Oreochromis niloticus: one gene and its partners. The protein of the gene in region 2 interacts with the protein of the main gene of each other region in a pairwise test. Links are inferred from orthologs where the notes say so. Each region holds a gene or a part of one and is shown on either strand. Other genes may lie near its edges.

Region 1 (6,873 bases), on a different chromosome or scaffold from region 2:
GGATGGCATTTCTCCTGGTGCCCGGGGTTCCTCTTGGGGCATGAGCTCCACTGCCAGAGCTGATTGAGGATGTCCGAGACCTCTTCATAATGGACTCCTCAGTCACTGAGGTCATCCCTCTTTTCAGACTTCCCGGCCTGGGAAAGGGAAAGTATTTCTCTTAATGCACAGGTAGCACCACAGTATACTTCACCCTGTACCACAGGTTTTCATAAGACATGATCTAACAGCATGACTAGTAGAAAAGTTTAACTTACTTCGGAACCAGCTGTGACGGCGTACCATTGGGCAAAAGGGGTTCAAAAGCAGAGTGTGCACTTCCACCGCTGTCATTACGTCTTAGGAAGTAAAAAATTAAAACAAATAAAATGGAAAAAAAACAACAACCATTTATTATTTTTGAAATATAGAGAAATAGAGAAAATAGAGATAGAGAAAACCTATGTAAAATGTGCTGTGTTAAGTTTTAGTGATATTTCCAATTTTCTTGCCATCCTTCAGTAACTCAAAACTGCATTTGAGCTCCGGTAATGTATTTATAGAAGACTTTAAGTCCACATTTGTATCTTGTATTAGCATGTGATCTGTATCTATTCAAATTATTGGGGAAAAAAAAGGGAAGCAATGAATACAGCATTATAATGCAGCTGTTATATGCATTCACAAGAATGCAAGGCCTTATGTGGGAGTGTATACTTTGTTGGAACATTACATTAGAAGAGTGAGCTTTACAAGTGCACCACAAATGGACTGGGAAATGGTGTTAATAGGAAAAAGCTATTCATCCATTCTGTTTGCAGCTGTCCGTAAAGCTAAGAGACAGAGACAACTGAAAGCATCAACAGGCAGTTTTTCTGTAGCCTTGCTAATAACCACACTATGTATTACCTACAGACCAAGAAGGTTTAAACAAAACACATGATACTTTTTGTGTCTTAGGTTTGCTGTGTGAGTACAGTAAGTTCTTTTTTTCCAGTCTATTTTTTAAATTTATTTCAGTTTAAATGTTTTTATACCTACTTTTAGTTTACTATAATAACCTTACAGCTATCAGACAAAACAAAGTGTTGCCAAACTACATAAAAAGGCAAATATAAAGCTTGTCAGCATTCATGTGCTGCCTCGTACCTTCTTTTGCTTTTCTGCTCAGTTGTAAAGCTCCTGTCCTCGTCCTCCACTTCTCTCTTGCGGCTTTCCTTCAGCACCTTGAGGACACTCTCTCTGGAGCACGGATCGGCAGGTGCTCTGGGGAGAACGGCATAACTCAAATGGTCCATGCTGAAAAAAAATAAAGCAATCAAACACAAAAGTCAGAGCTGCCGACAACACACAAATCAGGGATTTACTAAGCGTTGGATAAAAAGAAAGGTAAACAGCCATTGCAAAAGTTGTATCAAAAGGGTTTTGACATTAATCTCTTAAAACAGGTTATGTTAGAGTTTAAAGAGATCTGATTCAAGCTGATGATCTAAACTGAAACACTGTAATGCATAGATCATGCAGAGACCTGGGGGAGCTGTGGTCAGGCCTGGCGATCTTCACTGTGACAGGACTGAGGGCAGCCGGGGAATTGCGAGGGCTGAGGATGTTTTTCTTTCTGAAACCGTCCCATTTGACGGGAGGAAGGATTCCCACTGACGAGACACCCGGCTGCTGCAGGGGGTAGTGGCGCTGGGGTGTGATGGTGAACCTGCTCGCTGCTCCCAGTGTCTCCCTGCAGGACAGAACAATTAGAGGCCAAGGCAAAATGAAGGGTCTTAAAGTCTGTTTTTCGTCTGTGTTTTTGTAATCCCACAAATGGCCATAATAGATTTTTATGGGAAAACCCAAACATATAATACTCACTAATATTACAGAAAACGTGAACTGTTGTTCCTGTCTCTAATATTTCATGTCAGATACCATTTGTCAGTCTCTATAATGGTTGGGGCGATAGCGGAAATAAATCCCATTATTAGGTAAAAGTCTAATGCTTTGTTTTGCTTTCTAAATACATTATTACATTGCCAATACAGCAAACCTGCTAAATATGCTTTTCAGCTCCAAAGTAATTTATATGGCCGACAATTCAAGTTTTCTATCATAACTGTTCACAGATTGGAAATGCCGGTACTATATTAGTAGTAAATTACTGTAATGGGAAACTTTTGCACATGACTTAACCTGTACACATATATACGTATAAGGTTGCAGTAACGTGTAGCACATTTGGATAGCTGTGTGGAGCTACAGAGATCGCTCTGACGGCTCAAAGGTTAGTCATTAAAAACCGCCAAGCTGCACCTTTAGCCTTTTGAATTCCAACAACTTAACCGCCTCCATTCAAAAAGAACGGGCTGTATTACGCCGGTAAAACCGTGATGTGATTGATTTGATTTTAGCCTGAACATACCCAGCAAATGAAAGCCTTCTGTTTGGAGTATAGACGGCATGGTTGGGTCTGGCTAGCTTTTCCCGGAGCTGCTCTCGGGGATTTCTCACGGCTCTCCGCCTCCCCGAGTCGGCGGTTGGGCTCTCCGGTTTCCCGATGTAACTCCCCATGAGAAAATCCCGGGGGCTGAAAAGAAAAGACTCGCTTGATAAGGATTCCTTTCGATAAACGCCGCTTTCAGCGAGTCTTTGTCTTAAGTGTCCTTCTGATTCCCGGAGCTCGGCTCTGTTGCTGTCGCTGCTCTTCGCTCTCCCCCGTGCGGGTACCGAGACGCCGGTCGCCTCCCAGCTCCACAGCCAGCGCCGCACTACGGCCGGAACGTTTAGCCCACCCCGAGGATTCGGGCCTAACCTGGCGGGAAGCGGTTCTCCGCTATGATAATAACAGGCAATACAACAAACTGCAAGAATTAAGGTCACATAAAGAAAAGTAGGAATATAATAAAAAGCGAGAGTAACTAGGCCTAGAGCAGAGAGAAGCAATAAATGTTTTTCTCTAGGAGACATGGCGGCAACGCGCCGCCGGAGGACTCTCATATCCCATCATGCTGTTCTTCCGACATTACTTCTTGGATTTATATTTGTATTCACGCGCATTAGCGCCATCTACCGAGGTGGGGCTGTTAAACGCCGCCAGTGTTACTGCTCATTAAATTAATCTTCCTTTTGCTGAACCTAGGACAAATGTAATGTAAACTGTTGTGTAAAACATATGTATGATTATTATTTTTATTTTTTTGCATATTCGTCACACTTAAATGTTTCAGATCATCAATTCAATTTTAATATTAGACAAAGATAACTGGAGTAAACACAGCATGCAGTTTGTGAAGGGGATCCTGATAATAGTTTGGGACTGGTCAGGGATGAGTCTTTCCAGGGTCTGACGTGGGAAGTCAGTGCCACAGGCCTGTAATCCTGGGGGCCGCTGTGACGTCTTCCACACTGGGACCCTCTGCGGGCTCAGATTCACCATGAACAGTTAATGAAAGACTCCACAAAGCTGGGGGCACAGGCCTTGAGGACAAGGGGACTCACCCTGTTTGGTCCAGCAGACTTGCCTGAGTGGAGTCTTCTCTGTTCTCTTTGAACCTGGTCATGAGTGAAAGCGCTAGGTGTGGGAGGGGTGTCAGGATTTTCATAAGATTTTATGGTGCAATATGGAGAGAGAAGGAGAGAGAGTGGCGTGGCTGTGGATTGCAGGTTAACTACAGGTAGGTCAGTAGGGGGGTGAGCATTTACTGCAGTGTCGAATCTGTTAAAAACGAATTCAACTCATTGGATCTGCCCTCATTCAGATGCTGAGTCTGTAACCGGGCTTTGGCAGAGTGGATAATGTCAAATGCAGCAGTGGGGTTAGAAGAGAGGGGAACATAAACAGCCACCAAGATTACATGGGTAAATTCCCTGGGAAAATAATCCGGCCTGAGTCCAACAGCGCATAGTTCAAAAATCACCAAACAACAGTGGACCTTTAAATTTAGATTTGCCATACTACTCTTCTATTTACCTAGACAAGACCACAGACAAGTGTTTTTAGCAGAATGTTAATTTTTATTTTGTGATATTATTTAAACATGTTTTTTCTTGGAAGGAGTACGATGAGGACTTTGGGATGGAGATAATGAGAGTGAGAGCAGGATATATGAAGGAATGTTGGTGAATCATTAGTAAAGAGGAACTGAGGGCAGCTATGAAGAAGATGAAAGTGGAAAACCAGATGGTCCAGATGACAACCTGTGGAGGTATGGAGATGTCTAGTAGAGCGAGCAATGGACTTTTTGACCAGACTGTTTAACAGAGAATGCCTGGATGAGGTCAGATACCTGGGGTTAACCATCCAAACCAATGGACAGGGCACAAGAAAGGTGAAAAAGAGAGTGCATGCAAGGTAGAATAGGTGGAGGCTGTTGTTAGGGGTGATTTGTGACAGAAGGATAGCAGCGGGAGTAAAGGGTAAGATTTACAAGATGGTAGTGAGACCTGCTATGATATATGGCTTGGAGCTGGTATCACTGAGAAAAAGATAGGAGGCTGAACTGGAAGAGAAACAGCTAAAGATGTTAAGATTTTCATTGGGAGTGAGCAGAATGACAGGATTAGAAATGAGAATATCAGGGGGGCTAAGCAGTTTGGAGACAAAGTTAGAGGCAAGTCTGAGATGGTTTGGAAAAATGCAGAAGAAGGGACAGTGGATATATTGGACAAAGGATACTGAAAATGAGGAAGAGCACAGAGAAAATTCATGCATAGGGACTGGTGTGACAGAAAAGGAGGCTATGGATAGGGTGAGATGGAGGATGCACTGTGGTGCCCCCTAAAAGGAACATCTGAAAGACGAAGAACAAAAAAAGAGGATAAAATGTTTTTCTTGATTTGAAATAAATCAAACACCATATTATGTCAAAACATACAACAAGGAAAACAACAGAAATTATGGCCTCCCTGAGATTTATATTCATGAATATGATTGTCATTACTTCAGAGAATGTCACAGTTGGTGTACAAAAAGAGGTATGAAAGTCAATTTAACTCTCTGAGTCTGATCAAATCACTACCCTTTCAGCTTGTTCGTGGCCAAAAGTGGCCACCTACAGATTAGGTCTGTAATTTTTATTATTTTTGGTTTTTTGCCATTTTTTCTGCATAAAGCTTTTAAGTAACTTCAGTTCTTTCCATAAATATAAAATAATTATTACTTTTTTATTTTTTAACCCTTTAAACACCAGTTTGTTTGTCCACTGCACCAGCTGGATGACAACCTCAAATCTCGCAATTTTATATAATTGCATTGCTACTGAAATTTCTTGTATAGAGTCTGGGGCATATAATTGATTCACATCAACACTGATTATAATGCATTGTTATTTTAGTGCAGAGAGAGCAAAAACATAAAAACTCCCTCTCAGACTGTTCGTGGCCAAAAATGGCCACCCCTTGTTTACATTTACAAAATGCTATAAAATTCATATATATTAAGAAAAATGTCCAGTTTTTTTTACATGATTTTTTAGATTAGCATCAGGGCTGTTCATGAAAATCACAATTTCATTAAAATTCTGAAATTTAACCCTTTAAATACTAGTTAGAGCACATAATCATAACAACTCATAAATAGAGAAAATCATAAAATCCCAGTTTTTTTTCTAAATAATACATGCCATCTGATTTATTTGCTAACCATGATGAAGGTTAGATGCATAGCAATAATTAACAGCATCAATGACATTTATGCAACATTGTTTTTTTCTGCAGTGGCAGAAAAACAAAAAAACTCCCTCTCAGACTGTTCGTGGCCAAAAATGGCCACCCCTTGTTTACATTTACAAAATGCTATAAAATTCATTTATATTAAAACATTTTTCTACTTAGACCAACTTCATTTTTAAATGAAAACCAGTCCTAGTCATGAAAACCAAAATATAATTCAAAATTAGAAATTATACCCTTTGAATACCAGTCAAATTATATGTTACTACTATGTTTTTGGGGGGGAAATAGCAATAAAGTTCAAATTTTTTCAGCAGTTGAATGACGAAACCTTTTCTTTTTTTTTTAAATCATTGCAGGTCAGTGCCAGTAACAAAAATAATAATTATTAATATTAATATTTTGTATTATTCCTGTGAGTAATGACCCCAATAAAAGAAACTCCCACCTTGTTAGTCATGCCAAAAACGGCCTTTTATTGCTTGTTTGTACAAAATACATCCTCTTTCTGTGTGTGTGTGTGTGTGTGTGTGTGTGTGTGTGTGTGTGTGTGTGTGTGTGCGCGCACTCAGGGAAGGCAGGACACGCAAACCACAGCAGAGTGATCTTTGCAGACACTCTTTCCACAGCTGGAGCAAGTGGTTGCCGTTCTTCTTCTGTTTATACACAGTTCGCACCTTTTCCTCATTTTGTTGATGGGCTGTGGGTCATACTCTGATTCTGATTCTGACTGCTGTATCTCAGCAACAATAGCAGCGGCTGCTTTTGAGCGTGGGGCACAAGGCCGTCTTGCAATTTCTGGAGTCACCAGCATGTGGCCCAGCTCCTCCAGGAACACCCTTCGTTGGTGGGTCTTGGTGGACTCCCACTCAGGATGCACTGCTTTCCACAGGACAAAGGCACTGTATGCTGAGACGTCCAGAAGATTGTAGAACAGAGCCAGTGGCCAGTGACTGGTTTTCCTCCGACAACTGTAGGTGCCAACAACCTTGTCTAGGTTATCCACTCCACCTTTACACCTATTGTAATCAAGGATTGCTGCTGGCTTCTTCTTTTCCCCATCACTGACTGCTGGTTCCCTATGCTTTGTGCTCAAAAGAAGCACATTCTTCCCTCGCTTGGGCATGTAGGAGACTGCCATGGTTGTTTTGGTGAAGGCAAAGAGAGATGAAAGAATCTTCCTCTGTCTCAGCTGAACAAGCTGGGGAGGGAGCTCTGGTTTGTTTCTCCTGA
Region 2 (7,194 bases):
TTGCCAGCACAGCACAGAGGGTCCAACAAATGAAACAGAGACTGACAGAGTCTGAGAGGAAACAGGAGAAGTGGCAGTACTGGAGACCCATCCTGTTCAACGTCGGCGCCGGCGCCGGGGCTGTCTTGGCTGTAGGCCTGCTGTACTGGATGTATTCCCAGTGAAGCACTGCGGGTCATTTAAAACTGACTCCTATTTTGCACCGGTACCTGGGATTAGGTACTTCTTCTCGACATAGATTTAGACAGTAATATGTGCAGAATTGAGGGTATTTATTTCTCAAGGTCAAAATGTGGGAGCGCTAGATCAAACGAGCGTCTGTATATTTTTCATGTAAGATCGAAACAAAAAAATAGTAACATCTCAGGATCTCGGTGCCAGCACGATGATTTAATTTCCTTTCCTTCTTGTCACTGCTCATGAATGTACTGTATCATAGCAAAAATGGCTTTGCAGAAACTTACTAAAGGTGCAGTACAAAGAAAAATATATAGTGACAGGTTTATTTTTACATTCTTTATTTGTAATAGTCAGATATGTGTCGATCAACACGTTTTACATTTTACATTTCAGAATGACTTGTGTTGACTTGTTCATCCTACTGTAGACTTGTAGGAAAACTCCAGAGCCAAGAGGTCAGCTGTAGGGTTTTACTTTTCTTTAGTTTTAATGTAATATAATGAAATGCATGCGTTCTGTGGTTTTCCAGACCACCACTTGTTCTTCCATTCACATTTAGCAGGGCATCCCAACACGGCCAGAAGAATATTTTTGTGTGACTGGACACTTCATAGGGAGCTTCCTTGCCAATGTTTCACACTCTGCTAGAATGTTCATTTTCTGTTATGTGCACACTTTTTTTTTTTTTTCTTTCTTTTGCCTGCATTTGTTAGCTGCCACATGGATCATAAACGTTGCCCCCTAGGAAGTTATTTACCCACTGGATGGGTTGGTCTGTGTATGTTCAGGTGATCACGCTTTTTTTTTTTTTTTTTTTTTTTTTTTTTTTTTTTTTTTGTTTATTTTAAGAAACCAAAGCCTGTTTTTAGGAAGGTAACAGTCAGACAAGCTCCTAATGATGAACCCTCGTATACTCCCCTCATGTCGAATGTATATTCTGTTGAATCTCTCTGTCATAACTGACACCTGTATTACAAAATGATGCTAGTACCGTTCTACATCCTGTCCGTGTTTTGAACCCACATGATCGCCGATTCGGTTTTCAATTGACTGGGACCAATCCAAAGCTACAATAGTGCAATTTAGAAGCTGAAGGAGAGCACCTTGGATTAAATTTAGAAGAGAGCGATGTCCTTGTGGGCTGGTTGATAAAGCGTTTAATGTGCCTTGAAATGTGTTAAATAGGGAAAGGAGGAAAAAAAAGTGCGCTCCCAGAATTTTTTTTTTTTTTTGGTGTGTGATCAGTACAGAAAATTGTCATGTCGCACATAATGTGAGTAACATGTTTGCACTGCAATGACCAGATTAGAGGTGGTGTACAGTAACATGTGTTTGAGTTGATTGAACATTGAATGTGTCATTAGCATGTATTGACTCCTGAAGTGAAATTTTTGATTGGCTACAGTAGAACATGGCTTTTATTTTATTATTATTAATATTGTTATTTTCTTATTTAACCCCAGAGAAGTGTAACATTCCATTCATTTATTGTTTTCTGTGTACAGTTTTCAGGGGAGTTTTGTACACTGAGCTGCAGTGTGGAACATGACAGAAGAGTTTTGATGAGAAAAATGACAAAACCAAACAAAAACATTAAATACTTCATAAAAAATAAAATTTTCTTTTTTTCTTTTTTTTTTTTTTTATAAACCAAACTTTGCTTGCCTGTTCTTTAATTCTGTATCCGTAAAGCAGCTTTACCCACAGCTCTTCCCATCTCACCCACTTTCTGTGCTGTTACTCATAATTTCATTCTGACCATGAGCTAAATCAATGCAGACAGACTGGAGACCTCTCACTGTGGATTCCAGGAATTGATTCAATATTTCAAGAAGAGGCCATGCTCACATTGACTGCTGTAGTAATTTCATTTTCTCTTGTCTGGGACTGTGTGTGTATTTTGTGTTGAATGTATTTTGTGCCTTTGTACTTATTTCAGCTTGTCTGTTTGATGCTGGCTCGATCTCTGCTTTGTCGTTATGTCGTACAGCTCCTCCTAATTCTTTCAGCCGGTCCTTTTAGAGGTCGCCACAGCGAATCATCTGCCCTCCATCTCACACTGTCCCTAGCATCATCCTGCTCTGTCACACCAATCCTCTGCATGTCCTCCTTCCCTACACCCATGAACCTCCTCGGAGATCTTCCGCTCTAGCTTGGTCACTTCTAGCTCAGTTTCCTTTTTGTCAGTGCCACCATCTCAAAAGAGACGATATGTAAACCTTCCCTTTCAGTGTTTCTGCTGTCCTTTCACAAATCACCCCTGACATTTATCTTCTACCCTGCCTCTACTCTGTTCCTCACCTCTCCCCTGCACTGTCTGCTTTTGGATGGTTGACCCCAGGTATTTAAACTCTATCTTCACTCTCTCTAATTATTGTACGGTCGTCTTATCACCTGTCTCCCTCTCATTCACACTTGTATTTTGTATTACTTCTACTGACTTTAATCCTCTACAGTCCATACCACCACCTCTATGGGCTCTCATCCACCTACTCCCCAATCACACTACAGATCAGTGTCATCTGCAAACATCATAGTCCTGCCTGACCTCAACTGTCAGTATACGCCCATTGCTTCTGAAAACAAGAAAGGGCACAGAGCAGATCCTTGATTGTTTATAACTCCTACTGCATGCATCACCACTGTCTCATTGGCCTCATACATGTCCTGCACTACACTCGCACACTTCTCTGGGCCTCTTGACTTCCTCATAAAGTACCACAGTTCCTCTCTTGGCGCTTTCTCTAGATCCACAATGGCACAGTGAAGCACCTTCTGACCTCTATACTTCTCAATGATTACTCTTAAATATAACATCACATCTGTAGTGTTCTTTCTCTGCATGAGGCCATACTGATGCTCAATGATCATAACCTATATTAATTTAGCTTCAACTCTTTCACATATCTTTATGGGCTGACCCATCAGCTTTATCCCTCTGTAGTTACTACAGCTCTGCACATTACCTTTGTTCTTCCCCATACCTCAGGCATCTCTCACTTTCCACGGTTGTGTTAAACAATCTGGTTAAAAAGTCCACTGTCCTCTCTCCTAGACATCTCCATACCTCTACAGGTATGGTGTCTGGACCAGCTGCCTTTCCACTCTGGATCCCATTGTAGCTGCCCTCCCTTCCTCCTTACTAATCCTTGGCTCTTCCTGATTCACTAACTGTCCTCCATCCATCCTCCTCTCTCTCTTATTTTCTTCATTCATCAGCTCCTCAAAGTACTCCTTCAGTCTTCTCAACTCCATTTCTTCACTTCATAGCTATATCTGTCCTGAATCACTCTAACCTGCTACACGTGCTTTCCAGCTCGATCTCTCTGCCTAGCCAATCTGTCCCTTTCTCATCCATTAGTATTTGGTCTCACATACAACTTAAGACTTTACCGACCCACCACCTCTTTGTAACATCTGTTTTCCTCACCATTCTTCATCCATTGAACCCCGCCCCTCCCCGAATGACGACACTCTCTACTCATTAACAGAATTTAAACAATAGGTCAGTTATAATGCAACCATATTCACCATAAGTGTCTTTTTCTTAAAACACTTGACTGATATTTGACACAAATCTTGCCCCCTACTGGCATAATTATAAGTACTTATAATACGTACGAGTCATTAAAGCTTAGAAAGTTACGTTTAAATTTTTATTCCTTTGTCGATAGGCAGGATATGCGTAATTTGATCCATTTATGTCTTGCCTTAGTATGAAAACGCCTCCACATATAAAAAATAAACATAAAAACAGTGGCTATAATTTAAACTACAATTCAAGGGTCTTTCACATGTCGTCGCAATTCGTGACGCGATTGGGGTACGTAAAAATATCCCTGAATAAAATGGGGAATATTTGGTGAGCAAAAATGAAATAAAACTACAATAAATGCACCACCAAAAATACGTATATCGTGGTTTATATGGTGATTCTTATAAATCCTGTAACTTTAGAGCAAAATTGTCGAGGTATTGATTTTTTTTCCGGAGTATGGTGTCGGGCATCAGCGGAGAAACCTTCCCGCTCGCTTTTCCGCCACTGTTTGAACTGGCAGTTGTTGCTGTCAGAAAAGAACATTTCTGCGAAAAATGGCGAATGCACACAAAGTTTCATTATAACTCAACGGCGTTATTTATTGTTTCTACCAGTACCCATGTATAAGCCTGGCTAGCTAGCTTAGCCTAAAAAGCACAAATAATAGCAATAATGTCGCTGCCTCCAGAAAAAGCTTCCGAGCTGAAGCAAATCATTCACAACCATCTGCTCAAGGTGAGAAAACTACATAGATTTTATGGCTATTCGTGTTGTAAACAATGTACAGTTGAATGCTGAAGTCCTTAAGCAGCATGGTTACACGGGTATTTTTCATGAAGGGGGGAAGCTAGCTGTTTATAGTGGGCAAATAGATTTTTTTTAATGTCACAAATTCCTATTTCCTTGCATTTGCACATCACAGAGAAATCACATATTACCACCTAGTTGGTAAGATTGGCTGCACCATCTCTTTATACAGCATTATTTAAAGCACCGTTGGGAACCCGTGCTGTTTTCCAGCCAAGCGTCTATAAGCAGATAAAGTACAAATTCACACAGCAAACAAGACCAATTTCGATCCTACATTTGTTGCTGATTTGAATGAAAAATTGATTTGTAAAAAGTAATGAATGAGAAAAGATTTCGCATCAATAATGCACCGAATAGACGGTACTTATAGGTCTACTGATATAAAACATACACACACACTTCCCAAAATCAGAGTTTAAATGGGAAAGGACTGTTTTTAGAGGATGTTTAGAAAGCACAAACACAATTTTTAAGTAGGTGAAGGAATTTTGTTTTTCTGTTTGTCAGATGGATATCCATGGGAAGATCCGAGAGGTCCTGGCTGAGACTGTGAGGGATGATCAAGGCCCAGCACGTCGGTCTCTGTCTGAAGCAGATTTCCTGCGTGCTCTGCAGCGTAGAGGCATCATAGATGATATGATGAAAGATCTTCACTTTACACAGGTTTCCCAGCTTTTTTGATGCAATTTCAGACCTGCATTGCTAATTGGTTTTTAATATAGAAGTATTTTTCATTCCATCCATCAATCAAACATCTACAATGTATCAATCCCCTTGATAGCTACGTTTTACTTTCACAGTTTGCCTTCAGTATGGATTAAAAATATCTGTAATACAGTGTGTCAGTTCTGTCCCATCTTTTCTGACTGTTCTGTCTTGTCATTTTGGCGTGGTAGGAAGCCGGCACAGAAGCAGAAACGGGATCACCTACAAAACCTGCTACTCATTTTGTTGATAAAGATATCACTCATCTGAAAAAAAGTAAGAAACATTATTTGCATACCAAGCAAATAATAATATGATGCACAGATTGTTTTGCCTAACGTTATTCCTCTTCTACTTTTCTCTTCTCAGCCAATATTGACCCATCAAGGCGATGCCTGTATCTCCAGGTGCTTGGAGGGAAAGCCTTTTTGGAGCATCTCCAGGAGCCGGAGCCCTTACCTGGTCAGGTGTGTTCTACCTTCACACTCTACCTGCACTTCCGCAACCAGAGGTTTCGATCAAAGCCAGTGCCCTGTGCCTGTGAACCTGACCTCAAGGAGGGCTTCCTGTTAGAGATCCACAGAGACGGTATAGGTGTGTGTTAACCACAACTGTTTGTGTCAATCACAAATACTGTTCTCATTGTATTGCTTAATAAACCATCCATGTACAGAGTATAATTTTACAATTTTTGTATTCCAGGGGAAAGTGGTAAGATGGCAGATGCGACCTCCATGCTGTCAGTGTGTGACCCAGTGCACTTTGTGCTGATAAAAACAGACACCTCAAGTGAAACAATGCTTGTCTCATCCTACTTCCTGGACTGGAGGACTGTCCTAAGCTCGCCCAGCTGCAAGACCTGCTTTGCTGTAGAGCTGATGGGAGTTGGTGAGCAACAGACTCTCTCTGCACAAAGAGTTTCTAATGAAGGGTTCTTTTGATTTTAATTTTGAAGAACAAAAGCAGAAGTCAAAAAATCATGCTGGATATCTAGCTATATAGACCGGTTAATGTGTTGGTTGGAAATGAAAATGATCAACCTACAAAGTGCTGAATTCAAAGACACTCCCACAATAAAAGTGAAAAAATGATGTGGCAGTGCTCTGGGGTGAGGTGCTCTGTTGGATTTAGGTGAGCGGAGGGGTCAGTAAGTGGTATAAATTCCTTCGTCCTCCAGCCTGCATACTCTCACCCCATGAGGCCGGGCATTGTGTTGCACCAGACGGAATCCATGACCCACTGTATCAGTGTAGGGTCTGACACTGGGTCCAGTGATTTATTCCTGATATCTAATGGCAGTCAGGGTTCTGTTGCCTAGCCTGTAGAGGGCTGTGAAGATATGGCTCCCCTGACCATCACTCACTGACCACCAAACCAGTCATGCCAAATGATGTTACAGGCAGTATCATTCTCCAAACCCCTTCGCATCTGTCACATGTACTCAGGGTGAACCTGCTCTCATCTGTGAAAAACACAGAGCCATTAGAGGACATCAGGCCCTCAGGCCACTCTAATGAAGTCTGTTTCTGATTTTTTTGTTAAGAGACATTCACACCAGTGACCTGCTAAAGATAATTTTGTAGCTCTGGAGTGCTCATCCTGTTCCTCCTTGCATAAAGGAGCAGATACCGTCATGCTGATGGGTTAAGGATCTAAGGATGTCTAGCTGTCTTAGACATTCCTGTGTCCTGGAATGTCTTCCATGCTCTTGAGACTATGCTGGGAGACACAGAAATCCTGGTAGGGATTATTGATGTGCCATTCTGGAGGAATGGGTGGAGTGCCCACTCCGGGTCGGGGATGAGTTCCTGCCCCAAGTGGAGGAGTTTAAGTATCTCGGGGTCTTGTTCGCGAGTGATGGGAGAAGGGAGCCGGAGATCAACAGACGGATTGGTGCTGCGGCTGCAGTGATGCGGACGCTGCACCGGTCCGTCGTGGTGAAGAGGGAGCTGAGTGTAAAA
Region 3 (7,073 bases), on a different chromosome or scaffold from region 2:
GTACGTATACTCTGACAGAAACATGTTTATGTAATCACTATGGATACACTGATTGTGAAATTATAGGCCAACAGCAGCATTTTGTTTCCAAATCTACTTCTTTCCCTTTTGTTGTGCTTATACCTCATTTACTCCATGATAACAAAAAAAAAAAAAGAAAGAAACAACTGACCCCATTTAAAGTCTTTCAGCTTTTTGTAACACAATCTTTGAACACTCAGCTCGTGTGAAATCTTGAAGACAGAACATATTAATGTTGACCACTGACATCAGTAAATGCCATGTTAATTGGCAATATGCCAATATCAGACACCAAGGCTGGTATAGTAAGACCTGCAGTAATCATACACATGAAATAAAGGTAAGCCATACTTGTGAGCATGAATTTAGAGCAGCCACAACTTATTCCTTTATTAGCTAAAGATTAAAAACTTATCTACAAGGGGAACTGCAAAAGCACAGCAATTATGGCAGGAACATTGGTAATGATTACACCAGAGCCAGCAAAGGAAGTTAGAAACTGCAGCAGCAGTGTTTACAGAAACACTGTTCGACAGCAGCACTGTCAAACTTGAAACCCGTATTTCCAAAACAGTCAGACACGTAAAAAAACAACTCCCATGCAGCTACCGAGCTGCAATACAAAACAGCCTACTGGACAAACTCAAAGTGAACTCCATTAGTCTACTCTTGTTGTTTTGCTCAGCTCTTATAGTGAACTCCTCATTTCAAGTGCATTCTTCCTCTCAACAAGCCCCCTAACCTTAGCTTAGTTAACTAGAAATCAATAAGGAAAAAAAATAGAGGCCAGTGGTTTAGCATTTACCATTTAGTTTGTTTCGCTGAACATGGCAACATACAACAAGTAGCCTAAAAACTTACAATGTAAAGTGACACTTAAGTATTTATAACTCTGTCACAGCTATAGTCAATAGCCTATCACATATTTCTAAGCTGTGCTTTTCAATGCTAATGACTGTATTTGCATTTCCAATGCAAAGCAGATGTAACCAAGCAAACAAATGAAAACTTGGGACTCTTTGTCCAAACACTTCCTCTGTGCATACCTTTCCTCTGGAGGAACAGCCTGAGTAGAGGGTTAGCTGTGGAGATGGCCTTGTGGTAATTGTCGTCATTGTTGATGGGCAGCAGGTCACCGTGCACGTCAGCATAGCCCACCAACAGCTCCACGTTGGGGATGCGATGCACATGCTGCAGGAGACCGTAGAACTCGTCGAAGCGGCCTGGCTTGGACCGATCCAGAGAGAACCGACGAAACTCTGCACCAAACTGGGATGGGGCAGAAAGGCGTTCACATGTGATTGCAAATGAACACACAAATACACACAGAGGTGTGACGTATGGCCGAAACCAGGGTATGAAACAGTGCTTGATAAGCCTACTTTGTACTGATGCGTAAGCCAAAGCACACCACGTGTGGTAAATTATTCACGTGTTTTGTGTATCTCTAGGCTTGCAGATTAAAGCTTTTATCAAGCTACCACACAGCGTATTTATCATGCAGCTATTAGAAAGACAGTGTGCTTTCAGCATATGTACAATCACCACAAACGTGTTGCTGGTTTACCCATTTAAGCCCGTGGGCTGACTGGATCAATGGCTGCAGATGCCTAATCTTTAGGCAGCTCTGTAGTTGAGACAGAGCACAATGCCTCATTGGTAGTGCTAGTGAGAGGTACCGGCTGTTGTGGTTACTGTTGCTCAGCACTGACAAAAGATGATCTCCCAGCTTAATCAGTTATTTTATGCATCAATGCAAAGCAGAGTTAATTTAATAAGTGGTTGGGGACATAAGGAAGATAATCTTAACTCAGAAGAGTCAAAAAACTTAAAAATCCCGGGATAGCTGATTAAATAATAATAATAGCTATAGTAACTAATCTAGGTAAAGTATGAGGAAGGCAAAAAATGAGTGTTGCAGCTGAAAATATTTGACAGCTTGTGTCAACGCGTCCAAAAACGTCTAGAACAATATAGTCATTATTCATTACACTTATGTGTGGTCATGCCTCAGCAGGGCGCGGATGGAGCCACGAGCCTGACGCAGGCCGTGTGACACCTGTAACCGCAGGCAAATAACACGACAGGCAACGACTGACACCTTTAACCGACGTAATTTGACATAAACTTTTGTTAATTTGAGCAAACTTTCCACGCAGATTAAATTAAGTTAAAGAGTTGACTCAAACTTGAAGTCAGTACTCGGTAAACGAGTAGGAGAGTACGGCGGAGAAGGCTGTGACAGGTGACACTGGCTCACTGCGCAGTCAGCTGACAAAAACCCTCCACCTTGCCACAAACTAGCTAGCCTTTAGACGTAAAACGACCAAAAAACTACGCCACGGTTACCAATAAAGTTTTAAGAATTGTAACCAAACACCCGGGTGGTCACAGTGAAAAACAAAACAAAAAAACCGTTAGCTCCTCTTAAAGTTTATAAGCCTTGCTTCATAATAACCCGCTATCAAGCCACTTTAGCAGGCTAAATTAGCAAGAGTGGATTTAATGAGGACGAAGGTTGTCGGGAGTACAAACACTGGAAGGATACCTGACAAATAAGTGTCCGTACCCACCTTGCTCTTCACCTCCACTGCATTCAGAGAACGGCTGCTCGGCACTCGGTGGTTTTTGTTCATGTTTCTCTAGCAGCGGGACCGCCGCCAAAGCACTCACACTCTCTCCCTGCTCCTGCCGCCGCTGCCAATGTCTATCCACAAACCCCGTGTGTCCACCAGTTGTTTTTAATGTTTTAGTTGTGGGGTGTTTCAGTCGCACAGACTACACCGCGACTTCTTGACGTCCGCCGGTATGAGTGGTCCCTCCACAGAATGCGACAGAGGCTGTCAATCAGCCAGCTTCAGCTCGTAAACTTGTCTCCTCTCATACTTGCCGCTGACACCGTAGCTACAGCCCCACAGCGTACCGTCTCTGGCTTACCTCTGCCTGCGACTCTCTCTCCCTGCCCGTACCCGGAGAGCCGGAGATACGGGACTTCAAAATAAAAGGCGTGGCATTTATAATACTCTGTGGCTTCAAAATAAGAGCCAGCTTCCACCTCACCAGCATTAGCCCACTCTGTCCTGGCACGGTGTGGCAACCATGCTCCAAATAGCTCGAACAATAATGAACAGTAATGCCTCATTTTTTGTTTTTAATGTCATTCATAAAAAAAAAAAAAACTATTTTAAGTGTGTGTGTGTGTGTGGGGGGGTGTTTGCCATCATGTTAACTGAAGCACTGATGCACTTAGAGTTGTACTTTCTCACTCTAATAACGTAATGATGACCATATCTCTAAAAACCCTAAATTAAAATCGTTTGCATTAACTATTTAAACAGTTATACTGTACCCAGTAAAAACTAATAGTGTAACAGAGATTTTATGATAGTTGAATGAAGTGTTACCTGCGTATGTAGAATTCATATGGGTACAAAAAATAAACTGTAGTTCCTGCTCTGGCTACATCTTGTGAGTGTTTTAATTTTATAGTGACATCTTATGGCCAAAACCAATATATACCTGCTGCAGCTGCTGGCTACCTGCCCGGTAAATGCAGATACTTAACCCTTTCAAACTCGATGCCTTCATGGTGACCCAGACCAAGAATTCCATCATAATAAATGTCTACAAGGTTTTGTTGTTGTAGACATATTAATTTACAATGTATAAACAGCCCATCTGACGTTATTAAATGGCTTATTGATGCGTAATTATTGTTTCCAAGACAAGGCATCGCGTAGTTTTTACATTTTACAACATTCATCTTTGGAGAAGGGCATCTCTCACACAATGCCATGTCCTTTTTTTTACATAAGACATAAAAACATGTTAGAAATAATTATTTAATTATATTTAATTGAAAGTGAAACTGGCATTCTGGAACTTTGGAATTTATTGTATAAACAGATAAAGAACTTTTTTAGCTGAATACAGCAAAAGGAATCTTAGCAGGGTTATTATCAGTGAGTGAAAACGACTAAAATATTCCTTTAAAGTTACTTTACAGAGTAACATTTTGACTATGAATAAAATCCTAAAATCCTTCTCTCTTTAAAAAAAAACCAAACAAACAAAAAAGCAACAACTTTAGAAGTCAGATTTAGTTGGTCAAATAACAAGAAAAATGCATCCCTCTGCACCGTCACTTTGACATTTTATATGAAAATCGAGATGTATTTGTTGAGTAAATAAAACATAACGCTAAAATTCCATTGATCAAAATTTCAGCTAAAAGCACTCACTTTAGTTCAGAAAATGAAAAAAATTGATAAGTTGCACAGTTGTACTAAGCATGTAACAAACTCACAGCTCGACGTTTGTTCACATATTACTTGTAGACACTAGAGGGAGACAGAGACTGCGAAGGGAGATGCATGTCCTTGTTTTAAAAACTACAAATGTCTCGATTTGAAGATGAAATATACACATATTTGACTGAGCGCAGAAAGCAGCAATGATTTATCTTCCTCTGAAAGACACAAAACACAACAGTTTTTTTTTTCAAAGCTTATACGTGTGTAGAAAATAGTCGGAGTTCCTCCTTCTGTATAATATCCTGCTTCATGCAGGCAAAGGATTCTTCACATGACTGGAAAACAGAAGGCAGACACAGGGTAGCTTATGTTGATACAGTCATGTGCTTTTCATTACAGATGGTGTTCCACTAAAACAACAAAAAAATCAAAATCAAAATTATTGAAACATGGGTTTTCTTCTTTTGCACATTTGTAACCTCATTAGACCCATCATAGGTTTAACCATATACATATTCCCACACAAGTGAGAGCAGCTACCTAAGTTTTACTCTCACACTGTCTGTATATCTTGTTAGTAGTGCTGCAGCCTCATTTTGCCTTAATTCTTTGTGTCTTTGTTTCAAAAAGGTCCAGAAACATTCCTCAGAGATGTTGGTCCACATTGAACTGAGCACATCCCAGAGGTGCTCTATTGGACTGGGAACTGGTGACAGGCGAGGCCATTTGAGTACAGTGACCTCACTGCCAGGTTCAACAAGCCAGTTTGATATAATTGAAACTTTGTAATGTGGAGCATTATCCTTTTGGAACCAGTCATCAGAAGATGGGTACACTGTGGCCATGAAGGGATGGTCATCAAAAACATTCAGGGAGGCTGTGGTATTTAAATAATGCTCAGCTGGAGCTAAGGGGCCTAAAGTGCACCAAGAAAACCCCCCACACACGATTACATCACTACAGTCAGCAGACTGAACCACTGATCCACAGCAGAATGGATCCATGCTTTCATGTCATTTACACAACATTTGTGATCCTACCATCTGAACTTTTCACCAGAAATCATGGTTCATAGACCAGATAATGTTTTTTTGTTTTGTTTTTTTTTTACAATGAAAACGTGCAAACTGTATCCTCCATTACCTGTTCTTAGCTGACATGAGTTTGTGGTCTTCTGCTGCAATAGTCCATCCAGGTCCAATGTGTTGTGCATTCATAGATGCTCTTCTGCAAACCTTGGTTGTAGCAAGTGGTTATATTTAAGTTCCTATCTCCTTCCTACCACCTTGAAACAGTGCTGTGCTGTGTCTTGGGTCTCAAAGAGACCATTTAGGTTATTTAAATGTATTCTTAGCCACTGAGTCACACTGCATTACTGAAATACTGTGTGACTACATGTGTTCTGATGACCTGGTTTGACCTCTGATGTTTTAGCACACAAAAGATTGAAAACAGGATGAAGCCATAAGCAGGTTACGAGGCTAATAACAGTCCTGTGTGTTTCCTTCTTGTAGAGGGTCTGTCTGTGTAACAAGAAGATGTGATAGAGGATGATGGAAGTGAAAAGAGAGAGAGGAGATAATGGAGGTTACCCTGAGGGTGGTGAGAAGAATGAGGAGAGTAAAGTAATTGTAGACTTCAATTTGATGACAAATGTGGAGAGAAGTCTGCTCACTTCTGAGCATATTGTAGATGTCACAGTCCCTGGGTTTCTTGGACTTTGAGAATCAAACATTGAACATCTAAAATAAGGGATTTTTTTTTAAACTGTTTATTCCTTGATTTTTATTTATGCAGAGCTTTTATGTGTTAGTTCCAGTTTGCATTTTCCCCTCATTGTTCCCTGACTCACCCTCCTGTCAGTTCCCCCTAAGTTTTGTCATGTATCCGTATAACCCTGTTTTATTTGATAGTTGCTTGACTTTAGTGTTTTGTGTTTAATTTGACTTCCTGCCTCCTGTCTTATTGTCTATGATTATTTTCACCTGTGTCCTGCTACCCTCCAGCTCCAGTTCCCTGATTACACTTTCATAAGTTTTGCACATACACTCTAAAAATTAATTCAGAGGCTTAGTAAATATCACTATAAATATAAGTTAGATGAACCTGATAAAATCTATGAATATCCTTTTAGTAATTATTTGAGTTTCATAAGTTGAAATAAACGTCTAAAATGTTAACGTATGTGTTTGTGTTAAATTAAGGTATTTATTTACATTTATCTCAGACAAAAAATTCAGTATGTGGTTCATGGAATACCTTCTTTGCATGTACTTAATATTTTTGTTTAAAATTGAATCAAAATATTTGAGAAATAGGTATCTATACTCATCAGTATCTTGTACTAAAATCATTAATTATTCAAATCAATATTATTTATTGTCAGCAACTACAACTGAAAAGTGTAAGTAAAACACGATAACGTAGAGTAATTGAGTACCATGAGCCTTTTTCATTGTTTTGTTCATTTTGTCTGTGAAGGTTCTCAGTCATCCAGGTCATCGTAAAGGAATTTGCAAAGAAAAGCGTCTGGACTTCTTTGAGTTGCTTGAAGACGTTTCACCTCTCATCCGAGAAGCTTCTTCAGTTCTAAGGTCAAATGGCCGAGAGTCCCAGATTTAAACCCAGTGGGAGTATCCCCCCAAGGAGGGACAAAGGACCCCCTGGTGATCCTCTAATCACATGAGCCAAGGTGTGAAAGCGGGTGTGGTACCTAATCAGCCAGGGTTTCGGGTGAGCTCATTGTGAAACCTGGCCCCACCTTGTCATGTGAATTCCTGAGGTCAGATAGCCCAGGAT
Region 4 (7,565 bases), on a different chromosome or scaffold from region 2:
AACAGGCAAAAGACAAACATGTGAATGGGGAAAGATTGATAAAACATGCTTTTCCAGGATGGCAGATGGACGGATGGAAAAAATTAATAAATATCAAGCAAAGCATTACGGAGCATTACGTTATATTTAATGTGGACAGCAGGGAAAGCGATGAGCAGGGTTTTCAAACAATACACAGTTTCACAGTTTTTCTACTTTAGGATTTTCCTTGAGCTGATTAAATTAGCTGTATGGAAACTACCTCGTAGTTAGTAGAGTATGTACAAACCTTTTACAGAGTGTCTCTTCTCTAGTTGATGCAGGTCAGGAAGGATGTGGATGCAGTTGATGCAGCAGTAAGTGAAGAAATCCAGCAGCACCACTTTACCAGCCAGCTCCTTGTTTAAAGAGAGAGGCCCCTCCGTGTTCAGCCACTCTAAGCCTGGAGCAAATCACAGAGTGGAAAATGATGTTGTCATCTTTCTAATTATGTTTAGTCACGGTGTAGGCAAATGCTTTACATTACCATCCTAGAAGGGCTATGGATATAGTAACAAAACACCTAAAAGGCATATCTGTCTTGGGCCTGACACAGCGTTTGTGTCACATGGGAGAAAAAGTTGGATAGTTTGATGGATCAAAGCAGTGACTTGAAAGTTCTTGTGGCCCAAGTGTTATGTTAAATACCATAAAAAGGTTTTTTGTTGTAGATTTAGATCAGCTTGTTTCACACTTCTTTCATGTGCATTCTAAATTGTGTCTGATAGCATTTGTCACGCTTAACTCGTGCACATTTGATAAGTTTAATGTCACACTTTACAGCATGGTGAGTATCAAAATCCAGTACAGAGTGAAAGAATAATACCCCCACCTAAGTTTTCCATTGATAATCTGCTCAAGACTAAACCCTTCTTAACCTTTCAAAGAAATGTACGAAAGAGGAAGAACAAAACAAATCACATAGATTCATAATCATATCAGCCAATGGGGTACCTATGTAAAGATGTGTGCTTTTTTAGTGATGAATCTAGTTGCTCTTTCAGTGTTTAGCCCCAAAGGGTTTTTTTTGGCGAAACAAATCTCCACTTCATCCCCATTTTTAGATCTCTTAAGTGCACTTGCACACAGTGTTTTGCAAACAGCCGCATGACACCTTGTTCTTGTTGATGAGATAACTCTTTAGAACTCCAACAGTATGTTTGAATCGTTGCTGCAGAATGAATTTGGGACCGATCATATGCCTCGCTGTTGGTATGCGGCAGCAGATAAGAATCTAACCCCCCCCCCCAAAAAAAACCAAAAACTCACATGCATAAAAGATTAGCACAGTACGGAGCAGCTTAAAGGCTCCTTTTCTTCTTTATCTCTGACTGTGCAGAAGAGAGTCCAATTAGATAAATTTAGAACGAATTCTGAATTAAGAAAAAAAAAGAAGCACGGGTTGTGGGGACCTTGTTATTTTCAGATTGAGCCTTGTGTGACTCTAGTATTTGATGTTCTAACAGTAGATCACCACCTACTGGTGTGGTGAAATATTGTCAATATGCTGCATCCTTCAGCAGCAGACCTAAGTTTCCCACAACTAAACTTTAATTACATTACCAATTAATTGGAGGGCAATAAATACAATATTTAATTAAATGTATTTGTTTTATTTTTTGTTTAGAATAGAATAGAATAGGATTTGATTGTTTTTATATTCTTTTGCATATAAAAGACAAGTGGATGCTGATCCGACTATTAAAACCAAGGAACCCTGCATGTTCAGTGGCTAACAACTTATGCCCAACAACTTATCCACTTATGTAAACTAGGGCTAATTAGATTGCAGAACATTGACTCAATATGTGAGATGGTGGTAACACTCAAATAGATTTTTAGCTTTCTGACCATTCAAGTACAGAAAAGACCAGATGCACTCCTTCTTGTGGATCTAGAGAAAGCATACGACAGGGTGCCAAGACAGGAACTATGGTGCCACATGAGAAAGTCAAGAGTGACAGAGAAGTATGTGAGGGTGGCGCAGGGTATGTCTAAGGACTCTGTGCAGCAGTTGAGAGAGATTAAAGTTTCATCAGGGATTAGTTTAGAGCCCCTTCTTATTTACAGTGGTGATGGATAGTCCATGCCTGACCTCACCTGTTAAGCTATGATGCTTGCAGACTACTAATCTGTAAGGTGTCGAAATGGTGAAGGTGGATGAGTTTAAATACTTTGGGACAACCATCCAAAGCAGCGGACAGTGCACAAGAGTGGTAAAGAAGATAGGGTGGAGTGGGTGGAGACGAGTGACTCGGGTGATTTGTGACAGAAGGATAATAGCAAGAATGAAAAGGAAGGTTTACAAGATATTAGTGAGACCTACTGCGATGTACTGCATTGACAAATAGACATATTTTACATACTATTAAATTACATGAATGCCTGTAATTTTTCTTCCTCTTCCGGAGTAGATAAGGTAGCTAGCTAATTAATTGACAGACTATGAAGAACTTGTGTTTAAGGGTTACAAGGCGTGTGGTACTGTAACGTTAGCTTTTAAAAGGAAAGAGAGCTCTTCCTAAATAGACTGTGATTGTCCAGCATTCTTAATGTATATATGAATGAACATGCCGAGTGCTGTAGTGACGAGCAGAGTTGGCAAACTCAAGTCAAACTGCTACGAAAGAGAGGCAAAGTGTTTAAGCTAAAGCTGGTCTAACCTGTCTGGAAATCGGGTATCTTCAGGTCCTCTCTCTCGTCTAACTTTTTAAGATATTGTTGAACGAGATCTTCTTTTTCTTGCTGTGTTGTAGCGTCATCTAGATCGTTATCCAGCTGACTTTGGACAGGAAACAGTGTAGAGACGCTGCACCGGGACGCCATGTTTCCAGCAACAACAACCAGCTAGCTCGGTAAAGCAGCGAGGAGATTCATACCGCGGATTTCGACACAATAGCAAAAAATCTTATCGACTATAAGGGCTCTAAAAGAGTTTCAGTTTCAATTATCCGAATTAAATACCCTCTAAAATAGGCTTTTTATTTTTTTCAGCCTTCAAAACAAACAATTGGCTAATTTAATCGTTTAAAACGTGTCGAAAGTGTTGTTGTCCCTTTCTAGTTGTTTTTACTCCATTCATTGTAGCATAGTGGCGGTAAGTCCTGCTGCTGACATGTCAGTAAACGGTGTGTCAAGAAGGAAAATTTCTCCATGTAGTTGTTAAATAATGAGCTTCAACGGTTTATCAGTAACAAATATCCGCAGTGTATTATATAATATATAAGGAAGTTGTCAGTAGCCGTTAACTTGCTGTGATTAAAATAGTTATCGCGGAATGTTACCAAACACCAGTCCTTGTGTAATAACAATGGTTTCGAGGTAACGTCGGGCACGTTACGCTTTATTTTGCTCCAAATGTCACAGAAAGAAAATGAAAATGACATCTGGGACTATAAACCTCTTGGCAAGAAAAAGAAGAGGCATGAATCGCCGCCTAAAAACACTAAAAGAAAATGCACTTTCAGGAAATCCTCCAAGAAAGACGCATCTTCTCTCTCAATCAAGCCACAAGACAGGAACGCAAAAGCCAAAGCGGCAGAAAGTGGAGTCAGTGCTACAGCTGGAATAACAGACGACTGTAACTTAAGCTTAAATGCACGGGAGCTCAACTCAAAGAGATCTCCCACAAAAGAAACAAATCAAAGTGACAGTGCTGCAGCCGAGGGCCCATCCCCTGAAGACTTCTGCCCCATCTGTCAGATGCCATTCTTCATTTTGGTTGTGCAGTCCCAAAGATGGCACGTGGCTGAATGTATTGACACCCCCAGGGATACGTGCACAGGTACAGACATCCATACTCATCATACATCTTAAAGTTAGAGAGGCAGAAAGAAAATGGAAGCAGGTTGGAGACAAAGATAGAGAAGCAAGCCTGAGATGTTTGGTGCATAGTGGGATGGGGATAATTGATATAATGGACAAAGGATTCTGTCCAATGTATCCATTGCCAGGGAGAATGAAAAGTGCAAGACCACAGAGAAGATTAATGGATGTAGTCAAGGAGGACATGCAGAGTAGTGTGACAGAAGGGGAAGCTCGGGATAGGGATGGAGGTTGATCTCCTGTGGTGTCTCCCAAAAAGGAACAGCTGGAAGAAGATATGGCATACAGACATATCTATGATAATTCCCTTCATTTCCCATAATGCATTGTGATGGTATCCTTCATGCTTGTTGGATGGTAGAAGGGATTCCCATTCCTTATGACATGAAAGCTTCTACATAGCCTAACAGCTCAAAGGATTAAAAGAAATGTGCACTGACAGTGTAGCACTGATTTTATGCACTTAGCTCAGTTGTGTTTATCCTGAACAGCAGGATGATAAGATACGTTTATAGTATATATCATCCATTCAGTTTAGTTTAGAATAGCGTAGTTGGTAAAGTGATAAATATCATCCTCTTGTAACCCTGCTCTAACGAGTTCAGGCACTCTTTTTTATCTGTTCATACAGAATGTCCAGATGGTCTTCGGTGCTCCTCCACCATTCCAAACCATTACAAGAAATTCAACCACACACTTCTGGCCCACAGTCGAGCCAGCAGCGACACAGCCCTCCTCAGTCTGTCCCAACAGGCTGAGACCAGCCTGGATTGTTTTCCAGGACTGATCAAAAATCAGGGGTCTATTTTAGATTCTTCACAGCAAACCGCTCTAACTCCTTCTGCGTTATCCAGTCCTAGCTCCTCACCTCACCAAAGTCACACCGAAACACCTCAGTCAAAACTTACAAATGGCCTTCTGCTCCTGCGTTCTCCTGGACCAGAGGATTTTAAGAAAAAGAAAGGCTGGTCGTCATCTACTAAAAGCCAAAACTCTGTCACTGCTTCTCAAGAAAGTAATAAAGAGGACTTATCCATCCCTGTCAAGGAAAACAGTGGACAGCAGGCTAGTGAAGATTTACACAAAAGTGAGGATTCTTTGGAAAATGATGACATGATATCCTACTCTCCTCTTTCTGAGTTCCCTGCAGAGACTGAAATCAATACTACAGAATGTAGAAAATCTCTTTTTAATGACAGTGCAATTCAAAATGAGCATGAAGACTCGATGACGCTGTTCAGTGACAGCTTCTCCGGTGAAGATGAGCTCCTCACTGACTTTATAAACAGCAATTCAGGAGCCAGCAATGTGCAAGGAAAGAATCTGCCTTCTACAAACACCCAGCTGGGTGCAGTTTCCTCATTAGCACCCACTAATCAGTTAGCTGTTGAGACCAGAGCTGCTTCCTCAGGTGGCAAAGAAGCTTCTGAAATCAATAAGACTAGTATTCAGTCTCCACAGAGTATTGTCTTAGAGCGCCTGAGAGACACTCTTCTGAGCTCAGATAACTCACACTCCCAAAACTCAAACAGCATTATTCAAACAGAGCAACCAGCTTCTCTTCAAGTGCCTTCATCTCAAACCTCCATTGTCCAAAGATCTCAAGCCATGCCCCCTCAGAAGGGCCACAGCAAAGCCGGTCAAGTCTCGGGTCTCAAACAAACTGACATCGGGGTGTTTTTTGGCCTCAAACCGCTGAGGGAAAAGGAGAAAGAAGCAGAGAGTGGACCAAATGACCTCAACGCTTCGTCTACTCCAACGGCTGGGAAGAGCTCGGGACAGAGACGGCAAAGAAGAGAGCGGCAGAGAAAAAATAAAGCTGACACACCTGCAGATACGCCACAGGCCACAGAAACCATTAACCCATCAGTAGATGGACAGGGAGAAGTCTGGGGGAGGGGTGGGGCCACAGGGAGGAGGAGGTGGAGGAACAGAGTCAATGCTGATGGAGAAGCACAGCTGCCCCGTTGCCCTTTCTATAAGAAAATCCCAGGTTAGTAAGCAAATGTACATTTCTTCTTGCTGTGTAAATTTAAAGATTAATTATTATTTAATTTGTAATCTTTTGCAAAAAACTTTCCCCAGGCACAAAGTTTGCCATTGATGCCTTTAGATATGGACAGATCGAGGGCATCACAGCCTACTTCCTTACTCACTTCCACTCAGACCACTACGGAGGCTTGACCAAGACTTCCACTGTTCCCATCTACTGCAACAGAGTAAGTCAATCTGTAGTTTTGATGAAATAATTTACTTAGTTTTGTTTTTATTTGGTACCGGATCACCTAGTGCCAGGGACAGTTCACCCTTAAATCACATTTGTCTGTGAGGTACCCAGCTATGAAGATATTGGATGAAGAGATGTCTGCCTTCTCATGAATACATTCTTGCTTATGTTGTGCAGGATTTAGATGATTGGGGTTGCACAATCTGCGTTTTGAAATCAGAATCAAGTACTCCACTATGATTTATTATATGCATTTATTTGCATAAGACAATTGCTGTTTCTCTATGATACAAAACAGTCAGGGTGATGGATTTTATCCCTGCTTTGAGTCCACAGTTGAAACTATATCCAACACAATGTCAGCAAAAGGCTGACATTTTGTCAGTTTCTGTATTTCTCCTTCAGTGGTATGGAAGCGATTCACTTATTTGAAAATGATTCCCCCCCCCCCCCCCCCCCCCCCACACACACACACCCCTCTCTGCCGCCAGAAATCCTATTTACTTTCAACTCATTAAAAAGCTTCCTCACTTCCACAGAACTCATAGAGGAAGCACTTGATCCATTTGTTATCTCTCTGCACTGCTTTGACTCACATTAATGGAAAAAGCGGCTTGCGTTTGGCAGCTATGAATACCAATATTCAAATGGCTCTGATCACAGTTGAGTCAATTAAAATTCGAAGACCTTTGTGGGATCTTTTTTTCTTCTTTTGGACACAGTAATACAACATTTGATGTGCAGTAAAATAAGTTTATCTGGGGCCCAGTTGTTTGCCATCCCCTTTGTTGTTACTGTGAAAAAGCTACATCAGTGAAGGTGTGTTAAATGTAAAGAATTATCTAAATAAACTGACTTTTGCAGTTAAATAAGTGTAAAATCTTTAGCTCAGACTTTATTGCCTATTTTTGGTTCAAATAGCTACGACTTAACAATATATAATGTCAGGTATGATATGAGGTATGAACTTGAAATAATATAAAAGTCAAGAGACTAGAGATGTTGGGAGTTCTGCTATCAAGTGGGTCAGGTTTATCACAGTAGTGTGTGTGTTTTCTGGGGATTAGGCTAAAAACAGACTTATAAGTACTTATTGGGACTCCGTTTGCTAGGCCACAGACTTTGAGCGTGGGCGCCAGGTGGATCACAGCCCAGAAAAGTTTGATCATAATCACAGAGGGTAATTAGAAAGTAGATTGTGTAAATAAGATTTCAAGGCCAGGGTTTGGGAGGCGGGGGGTGGGGTGAATTACTCTGCAGACAGTTACATGAATATCTGAGATTGTTTGAAACCTGATCATCACTGTAAACTGCAAAGATTTGTTCACTCTCAGCTGTGTCTCCTGATTAGATTACAGGGAACCTGGTGAAGAGCAAACTGAGGGTGGCCGAGCAGTACGTCCACATCCTCCCAATGAATACTGAAGTCACTGTGGAGGGGGTCCGGGTCATCCTCCTAGACGCTAACCAGTGAGTCATCTGTGACATCAGCAGG

The links.
Region 1: the proteins of cep76 (region 2) and pom121 interact in binary tests that used the Homo sapiens proteins (3 or more experiments, as listed by UniProt). The two-hybrid records come from large-scale screens. The link is inferred for Oreochromis niloticus from reciprocal best matches to the Homo sapiens genes CEP76 and POM121.
Region 3: the proteins of cep76 (region 2) and pard6b interact in binary tests that used the Homo sapiens proteins (3 or more experiments, as listed by UniProt). The two-hybrid records come from large-scale screens. The link is inferred for Oreochromis niloticus from reciprocal best matches to the Homo sapiens genes CEP76 and PARD6B.
Region 4: the proteins of cep76 (region 2) and nhlrc2 interact in binary tests that used the Homo sapiens proteins (3 or more experiments, as listed by UniProt). The two-hybrid records come from large-scale screens. The link is inferred for Oreochromis niloticus from reciprocal best matches to the Homo sapiens genes CEP76 and NHLRC2.

What each region holds. Positions count from the first base shown.
Region 1 is NC_031975.2:24,313,473-24,320,345, forward strand, and holds the start of pom121 (nuclear envelope pore membrane protein POM 121), read right to left. Parts: upstream 3,003-6,873; 5' UTR 2,968-3,002; coding exon 2,393-2,967; intron 1,715-2,392; coding exon 1,508-1,714; intron 1,279-1,507; coding exon 1,129-1,278; intron 339-1,128; coding exon 258-338; intron 138-257; coding exon 1-137. UniProt on the Homo sapiens protein: Essential component of the nuclear pore complex (NPC). The repeat-containing domain may be involved in anchoring components of the pore complex to the pore membrane. When overexpressed in cells induces the formation of cytoplasmic annulate lamellae (AL).
Region 2 is NC_031976.2:5,547,207-5,554,400, forward strand, and holds the start of cep76 (centrosomal protein of 76 kDa), read left to right. Parts: upstream 1-4,187; 5' UTR 4,188-4,390; coding exon 4,391-4,453; intron 4,454-5,035; coding exon 5,036-5,191; intron 5,192-5,424; coding exon 5,425-5,509; intron 5,510-5,602; coding exon 5,603-5,827; intron 5,828-5,935; coding exon 5,936-6,121; intron 6,122-7,194. Other genes in the region: ptpn2a (tyrosine-protein phosphatase non-receptor type 2a), read left to right, coding at 1-164. UniProt on the Homo sapiens protein: Centrosomal protein involved in regulation of centriole duplication. Required to limit centriole duplication to once per cell cycle by preventing centriole reduplication.
Region 3 is NC_031984.2:31,749,903-31,756,975, reverse strand, and holds the start of pard6b (partitioning defective 6 homolog beta), read right to left. Parts: upstream 3,017-7,073; 5' UTR 2,658-3,016; coding exon 2,595-2,657; intron 1,291-2,594; coding exon 1,068-1,290; intron 1-1,067. UniProt on the Homo sapiens protein: Adapter protein involved in asymmetrical cell division and cell polarization processes. Probably involved in formation of epithelial tight junctions.
Region 4 is NC_031973.2:14,310,537-14,318,101, reverse strand, and holds the start of nhlrc2 (NHL repeat-containing protein 2), read right to left. Parts: upstream 3,003-7,565; 5' UTR 2,845-3,002; coding exon 2,682-2,844; intron 422-2,681; coding exon 269-421; intron 1-268. Other genes in the region: dclre1a (DNA cross-link repair 1A protein), read left to right, coding at 3,376-3,802, 4,475-5,836, 5,929-6,062, 7,422-7,540. UniProt on the Homo sapiens protein: Required for normal embryonic development.